Oryzias latipes: one gene and its partner. The protein of the gene in region 2 binds, or shares a complex with, the protein of the main gene of each other region. Links are inferred from orthologs where the notes say so. Each region holds a gene or a part of one and is shown on either strand. Other genes may lie near its edges.

The links.
Region 1: sf3b2 (region 2) and snrpd2 share a complex: the UniProt entries of both Homo sapiens proteins name them as parts of the minor spliceosome. The link is inferred for Oryzias latipes from reciprocal best matches to the Homo sapiens genes SF3B2 and SNRPD2.

The regions. Positions count from the first base shown.
Region 1 is NC_019871.2:25,537,816-25,542,040, reverse strand, and holds the start of snrpd2 (small nuclear ribonucleoprotein Sm D2), read left to right. Parts: upstream 1-1,390; 5' UTR 1,391-1,519; coding exon 1,520-1,521; intron 1,522-2,865; coding exon 2,866-3,045; intron 3,046-4,225. UniProt on the Homo sapiens protein: Plays a role in pre-mRNA splicing as a core component of the spliceosomal U1, U2, U4 and U5 small nuclear ribonucleoproteins (snRNPs), the building blocks of the spliceosome.
Region 2 is NC_019876.2:19,504,084-19,508,256, reverse strand, and holds the start of sf3b2 (splicing factor 3B subunit 2), read left to right. Parts: upstream 1-1,368; 5' UTR 1,369-1,448; coding exon 1,449-1,572; intron 1,573-2,009; coding exon 2,010-2,056; intron 2,057-2,656; coding exon 2,657-2,887; intron 2,888-3,145; coding exon 3,146-3,181; intron 3,182-3,302; coding exon 3,303-3,375; intron 3,376-3,554; coding exon 3,555-3,655; intron 3,656-3,832; coding exon 3,833-3,941; intron 3,942-4,173. UniProt on the Homo sapiens protein: Component of the 17S U2 SnRNP complex of the spliceosome, a large ribonucleoprotein complex that removes introns from transcribed pre-mRNAs.

The DNA.
Region 1 (4,225 bases), on a different chromosome or scaffold from region 2:
TAATCAACATTTTAGTTGTTAGAAAAAGTCTACTAAAAAACTTGAGTTGTGGTCCTACAACTATTTGTAGTTTTAACGGTTTACTCAACAAACTTGAAAAAAAGCCCAAAGGGATTGTTTGTGTTTGGAATTGGTTTCCTTATTTCATAAGTCACAAGATCTCCTTTGGATGTTGGCCAAAAAGGAATTGTGGATTTTACCATCTGAAAGAAGTGCTACAACATTTTTGTCAACGGCTCAGACTCTTTAAGACATCTCTTCAAAACAAAACTTATATTAGACTAACATTAGATAAATACACCTGCTGTAGATCTCATAGAACTCAGTTGTGAGAGTTTCTAAATGACACTATAATGCATCTTATAACTTTTTATAATTGTATTATAAATGGTAAATGGCGTATAATTGTACTGCGCTTTCTACCTTCCTTGAAGGCCAAAATCAGTCACCTATTCATACACAGATTCACATACTGGTTTCCTGGTTGCTGAACACTGGCACCAACCTTCCACCAGAAGCAAGGTGGTGTTCAGTTCAGCGTCTTTCCCAAGGACACTTCAACGGTAGGGCGGGTATCGAACCTGCAATCTAACGATCAGAGGGTGACCACCCTACCACGGCTGCCCATGTATGCAAGACATGACAGCAATAAACCTGGAGCCTAAAACTTTTACTATTAAAGTTTTTTTGTATTGTTTGATTTGCAAAATGCAGTTACAAAAGGCCATGTTTATAGTTTCTTGATATTGAATTATATTTTTCAAATAAATGAGTTTAAAAATACTGCTAAAAATACAAATGAACAATGCTGCATCATTTGTTTAGCACCTACAATAATAGATAAGGCAATCTGTGATTTGGAACGTGGCACATATGAAAAAAAGGAAAGGTTATTATTATTATTATTGTTTTTGTTGTTATTAATATTATTACTATTATTGTTGTTGTTGTTATTTCCAATATTTTAATTGTTGTTGTTGTTAATAATGTTGTTGTTGTTTACCAGGCAAAGGTCACAGACTAAGCAACGTCTCTTTTATTTTATATTATTTCTTGATACTGTCAACCTGGACTTTGATATCCTGCAAATGCAAAATAACTGGATAAAAGCAATGCTGAATTTAAATGTATCAAATTGTATTTAATTAATCTTTTTCGTGTATTTATTTAAACATGTTCTATAATGTCGTTTGTTAAATTGCTGCATGAATGCTGGGGCATTCATAACAGTTTTAACTTCGGCTTCAGTAACGAAATTACTAGAGATGGATGCAAGATTAGAATAGAATATTTTAGCTGATGACCGTTGTTTGATTTTTTTTCTATTGTTGCCAAAAAGAATAGAATATTTTTCGAATTTTTGGTTTGCGTCGTAACCCGGAAGTTATTCTATTTAAGCGCGTTAATATCACCGGAAGTGATTCTGTGCACGCGACTGTCGGCTAAAACGTTGTAGACACGACCGACGCACGAAAGAGGCTTTGGAACTTTACTAAACGGTTTTTATAAACCAGGAATCATGTTAGTATCTTCTATTGTGTCTCGATGTTGAGGGCAATGTTACTTTTTACGTTTAGCTGCTAATATGGAGATCGCACTATTAAGCTAGCAGCATTTTCCTTCGAGTTGGTGCTAGATCGCTTTGTGTGGCCTAGTGGGTGGTTTTTAGAAATGTGTTAAATTGGATTACATTGCAATTACTGCATTCTCAAATTAAATTGTTTAAAAAGTTACGTCCAAAGCTAAATTCTGTGATTGTACATCGCGCGAAAGCTTGATGGACGTACTAAGCCTCATTAGCTAATTGCTAATGAGACTGTTAGCTTGCTCTATCCATCATGAGTAAATGTCCTCGTTGTGCGATTGCAGCATTCATTCTTTAGAAAGTAGAAATGTTTAAGCTTCTGCAAGATGATATGATCAAAGTCGTCGGTTATAGACTCATTTTGTGTGAAAGCCAAAGTTTTGTTCTAAATATTTTGTGCGTAAAGAGCCTAAACTCTTTGCTGATCTCAAAGCACACACTGTTCAGAGATTGTTGAAAACTTCAAATGTATCTGGAAACAATAAATGTTCTGTGCTCATTTAAGGGTGGCGGGAGGCTTTAATGTTTTAAAACTTGATCCTTTTATAAAGTCTAGTATTTGTTGACCTTTATTTAGGTAAATTGTTTCTCTATCATCCAGAGCAGCCATTTTTTTTAAAGTAGGTTTTACTTCTGCCTATTTGTAGTGATCATTGTACAAATATAAAGAAATATCGAGACTAAAATGTACTGATTCAATTTATCAATGACCAAAGCATTTATTGTGTGTGTGAGATAATTCCTCAATAGTTTTGATTCCGTCTGATGTAATGTCTCCTGTACAATGGTTTTCTGGTTAATACTAGTTTTGCATGTTTAGTTTTATTTAGATATTTGGTTGTGGTCCATTTTCCTGCTTAAGCACCTTCTGCCTCTCAAATGTCTCTATTAACTGAGCACTTTCAGTCAACAGCTTCAGCTCTCATAAATGCTCTTTTGCAGGAACTGAGACTTTTTTTAGCTGGTTCCACTTTTCAGATGTCTTGCCTATATTGTACATTTTTGTGCTAACTTGACTTTATAAGAAAATGATCATTTTGTTGAGGCACACAGATGAAGCCAACTCTTGGATTCGCATTAACAGTAACTAATGCTTGTGTGTGCATTAAATACGAAAGTGTTGCGTTTGTGTCTTTATATTTATTTTTTAATTTAAAAGAATAATAATAAAAAGGCCCAAATCCAAATAATAGGCCGCCCAAGCAGTCGATGCTTAAACAGTACATCGTTGCTTATTTTGTTTGCTGTTATCACTAATTCAGAACTTGTTTAATCCACAGGAGTCTTCTAACGAAACCTAAGTCAGAGATGACGCCTGAAGAGCTCCAGAAAAGAGAAGAGGAGGAGTTCAACACTGGCCCTCTGTCGGTGCTCACCCAGTCAGTCAAGAACAACACCCAAGTCCTCATTAACTGTCGCAACAACAAGAAGCTGCTTGGAAGAGTCAAAGCATTCGACAGGTATTGGGGGGCTGCTGGTGTAGCGGAGAGAGGTTTAAGTGTGTATTTAGGACTTTTATATGAAGAGGAAACAAACACGAAGAGCTTGCATCTTGATTTAGAAAGTGTTGCTTCACTAAAGCATATTTTTGCAGTCTTTTTTTCTTCTTCTTTCCAGGATTTGAAATAACATGGCGCCTTACAGTGGTTTTATTCTAAAATGTTTCAATTATTCCCTCCTCTCTTTGACATATTCCTTTAATAGAATCAAGAATAAAATACATTCAGAAGAATTCAAATACAAGTAAAACACTAAATATAAGCTCACAAATGTAAGAGATTAAAAAGGCGTCCATAGCATCTCCTCCACATTGGGTACTGTGCCTGATGTGGGTGTGGGGTTTGAATGATTTCATTCTCTGAAGCATTGTTTTGTTTTTTTATCAAGTATGAGTTGAATAAAAAGCCACTTCTTAAATACTAAACCTGTTTTAAGGGTTAGATGTCAACAGCAAGATTTCTATATGTAGTCACTTGTGTAATAAAATCAAATTTTCTTACAAAGCTTAAGCAATGAAGAAGGGAGATTGCAAGATGTTTTATTTCAATAGTTCTTGCATTGTAATTTTCTGATCTTTTTGGTTTTTAAAAGAATAGATTACGTATGTGAGCAAATCCACCTGAGCACCCCAAGATTTCAAATGCCAGTGAGTTATTAGTATGAAGGTAAAAATGTGTCTAAATAGACGAGCTTGTAGATTTGGTGTGAGAACTTGTAATTTACAATGTGAGAACTTGCACACCAAAAATCTGCATCTGTGTGTAAAAATCTTCTGCTGTAAAGTCTGACAAACTAAATCAGAACTGACAAATTCCCATTTAGAGTTACAACCTCCAATCTGGGATTACAACTGCTCAAATGTGAATCTGCTGGCGCACATCACAAGTGCACAACAACTGCGCTCTGACTTCTGACACATTCCTTGTGAGAAACTTGTGTCAAAATTGATCTGTGTACGAAAACGGAACGGGGGGGACAATAGGGTCATGATTAGTCAGTACAGAAAGTTTGCTGACATTAGCTTTAGTATCTTTAGAACTATTGAGCACCTTTATTATGAATCATGTCTCTTAAAATGTGAAAAACTATATAAAATATATTAAACATGGAATTTCTCAGCAGGAAGTCCGAATCTGTGAA
Region 2 (4,173 bases):
TACATCTGTTTAGAATACATTTCAAGTCCATACATTTTAAGGTGAAGAATTTTAAATATTTTCAATGCTACACATTAAATGAGTTAAAAAATTTATAAAACATTTGAGTGAATTTTACATATTTTATGAGTTGAGTAATATTATAAAAAATATAGTTAGTTGAAGTGTTTTTTTTAGTTGGAAAATATTAAAAACTTTGAGTAAATAATCTCTCTTTTATAAGTTGAGGAATCTTAATATTTTTAATATGAAATAATACAAATTTAAGCCAACTGACAATATAAATTTTAATTAATGTTAACTTAAAAGTTTTAATAATATAACTTAAAAACTATTGCGTAATCTGTTACACAATAATTTTTAAGTTCAGTCAACTCATTAGGGTTTACAGCGATGCATTGGACTGGAATAATGGACTATAATAATCTCCCATTAGTGGGAACAATCACCTAAACACTGACCACTTCTTGGTTTCAATAGTACAATTCCCATCAGCCCTTGTCCTCAAACCAGAATGTTCCCAAGCTGCTTCCGTTTATTACTCACCTGTCTCTCATCTGCAATCACACAACCTCTATATCACTTGTCAAACTTAAGGCCCGCGAGCCAAATACAATACTTGGTGTGTATTCATATCTAAGGGGAATTGGAGTAGAAATATCGGATTGGGCAACTGTACATTAGGACTTAAACACTGTCAATATAACCTAACCTGACAGAATAAAATTTAAAAGGATTTATGCTAGAGTAACAAGCAAACATGTTTTCTGTGCAACTGTGTCACTTTAACAAGTTATAATAAATAAATGAGTTATTTAACATTAAGGAATAATTACGTTTATTTTTCATTATATTTAGTTACCTTTGAGGAGAACCACTATGCTGATGTGGCCCTCGGTGAAAATGAGTTGGACACCCCTGCTATATATACAGAAAACTAGCTCACATTACAAAAAGTTGTGGCACATATTTACCTTTATACTTGTAACTTCTGTTAATTTCAATTCTTAACAACCCAAAATCAATTTAACAAATTATACAGCATCACGTATTTGAGCCCTGCCCTGTCATGGATTTGATTTTGTTCTAGTACAAAGAAAATGCGAATATACTTCAATGTCTTTAGTAGTAGTATATTAGTAGTTGTTGTTGTCATTCATTGTAGTAGCAGTAGTAGTAGCAGCAATGGGACAACGTTTTTACATTATTTACACAAATATATCAATTTGTTTACAAAAAAAACGTTTTCAAAAATCATATTTCAACCAGTTAACGGGCCAACACTGACACCCAGAGACGTCCGTAGGAAAATTAAAGGAAAATTTACAACTTCATATCCCTAAGACCATTGCGTTTCTCCCATAATGCCTTGCTTTTTTTTCTTGTTCTCGTTTCTGTCTCTCGCGAGTTTATCTCTTTTTTCCACCGCCGTTGATCGACTGCTCAACATGGCTTCTGACGGACCGCCGGGCACGGACCCGAATGATTTAGGTAGTGTAATCGCAGCATTAAACACATGGAGCGTCCCAGAGCTTCAGGGGAAGCTGGTGGAGCTAGGAGCTCCAACAATGGGTAAGAAAAGCTCCCATATAGTGCAAAAATCAAAGCGCGTTGTTTTGAAGCTAGCTTACGGCTAGCATTAGCTTGGAGCACATAGTCGTTGAACCTCCGTCATAAAGCGCTCCAACAACAGGCCCGCAGAATGGTTTGACTCCGTTTAGTATTTTCATATGCATATTTTAAAAGCCGTTTTTGTCTAATATTTTACAGTTGGAATACCAAACGTAACAATTGATTGCTTTTGATGATTTCTTACAAAAACTAGCTAAGTTTTTGCTGATGATGATGATCGACAGTTCCATTGTTGTGAACTGCTTAGGATTTGCTAATAATGTGATCAATAATTGGTATTTTACGTCATATGGTACTCTGATTACGTTAATAAATAACTCCAAACCGATGAATTATTATTAAAATAAAATACAATGGTCGTGCTTCTCTTAATTTAGGCTCTAGAGAGGAACTCATTGACAGACTGAAGGGCTACATGATGCAGGTAAGCTCATCCTCGAAATCAACATCACACCCACACAAATGCAACTTCCCATTCTTAATTCATTTTTTTTCTTGTTGATTTTAAAAACTATTATTCAAATGGATAATAATAAAATGTTTTTGAGGGTTTTATACCAATAGTTTGGGTAATCTCTCTTGTAGCCCTTCACATTGAGCCATTAAAACGGTGTGGAACGTTTTTTAAATTTTACGATGTCTATCTGGATTTATGTATGTTTAATTTTGTAAAATGTTTTAGTATGCTGTATAGGGATAATAGTTCAATTGCAAAAATCTCAAGTTAATATGGCAACAAACAACTAAGGGAAATCATTTCATTAGTAGCCTAACAAAGAATAATTGGTTGGCTAATGAAGGCTATTGAGTGGACTTAGTTTTGACTGTTTTTAACTTATCTGCATTGTTCAACTTCTGAATTTATAAATCAGACTGTAGACATGTGATGTTTAGCTAATTTTTAATGTGTCAGGTGGAAAAGCAAAAATAAATGGCCCAAAATAAAAATAAAAAAGATTAATTTCATATCAGTCAGCCTCCTATCTATTGCTCTTTTCACAATATTTTCATTTCTTTTTTTCAGGTGCCGAGCATTCCTCCCATGCCCCCGATGCCCATGCCACCTATGCCCCCAGGGATGGGAATGATCCCAGCAATGAACATGATACCCCCTGGAGCTCCTCCCTCTGGCATGCACATGACAATGGATCATCCAAACATGCCACCTCCTGGTCTCACACAGGACGATCAGCTTAAAATGGTTCAGCAGAGAGCTGCCATTGTGTTACAACAGGAAGAAAGGGCCAAGCATCAGGTGGGATGGCAGAACTGGCCAACTGCTGCATTTGACACATTAATCGCTAATATTGTAGTACTCGGCAAAACAAAATTACTGGACTGTATTTAAACATTGTAAGTTTTACAAAGTAAATTAGGTAAAAACAACGATCATAGATACAATTTTTCAATGTATTTGGGTAAAGCCAACATTTTTTACTAGAGACCTTTAACAGAAAACACCTAAACAGTCACATTTGCTAAACATTGGCCTTTTTTTGTTTGGCTAAAACAGGGGGACGAAAATGAACTTCTGGAGCAGCAGCAACGGGTAAGGAATTGCAAACAACACATTTTGTTCAGCTGTCAATTAAAATAAGGAAGACATTTATTTTCTTTGTTTCTTATTGTGATTTTATATTGCTTGCATCTCTCATTCATTTCTTCCTTAGGCTGCCGTGCTGCTGGAACAAGAACGACATCATGAAATGGCAAAGATGCAGCCAGCTGTCTCTGCAGTAAGAGGTTTGTGGAATATCCTAAAACCTTTTACAAGTGATTCCATTCAAGATCAATGTCACAAAATGTTTGTCAAGGGAAGACGTCTCTGCTTCCTACAGTGTTGCAAGCTGACGTTAAACCAGCATTTAATAGTATATTTTTACATTATCAATCACAAATTTGTTTTTTTCACAAAACCAAAGTTTCAGTTTTGGATCCTCACGGGCCTTTACCTCCTGGTGTCACCTTGTTGCCATCTCATAAACAAAAGGTGCCACCCCCTCCAGGAGAAGATAACAGAGACGTACGTTTTTCCTGCACTTCTCTAATTTTTGTTTTAGACATAGGTTAACACTAATTCTGGTGTGATTTAAGCAAAGTTAGATTCTTTTGAAGTTTTTTTAAACTCTTTGAACTTTTTTGATTAAAATGCGACAACCTGCTGGTTTAGTGTTAAACTGCAATTCCTTTCTTCCTGCAGATCTGGCAGAATGAAGAGATTAGTGTTGGCGGGCCCAAGATCCCACAGGCTCTGGAGAAGATCCTTCAGCTGAAGGAGATCAGGCAGGAGCAGCTTGTCGATCCAGCAGGTTAGACTTACAAAATAAAATATCTCCAGATTCTTTACATTCACTGTTACTGTCGTAAGGTATGGCCCCTAAAACATTTTTATTTTAGGGTATAGCATGGATATGTGTTTTTTGGTTATTTAATTTAAAGTCTGATTTTTTTTTTTTTTTTGCTTTATTTTTTTCAACAGAACCTGATCTGCCTTAAGTGTGATTTTTTTTATTACTGATTATAAAACCAAAACAAAAAAGC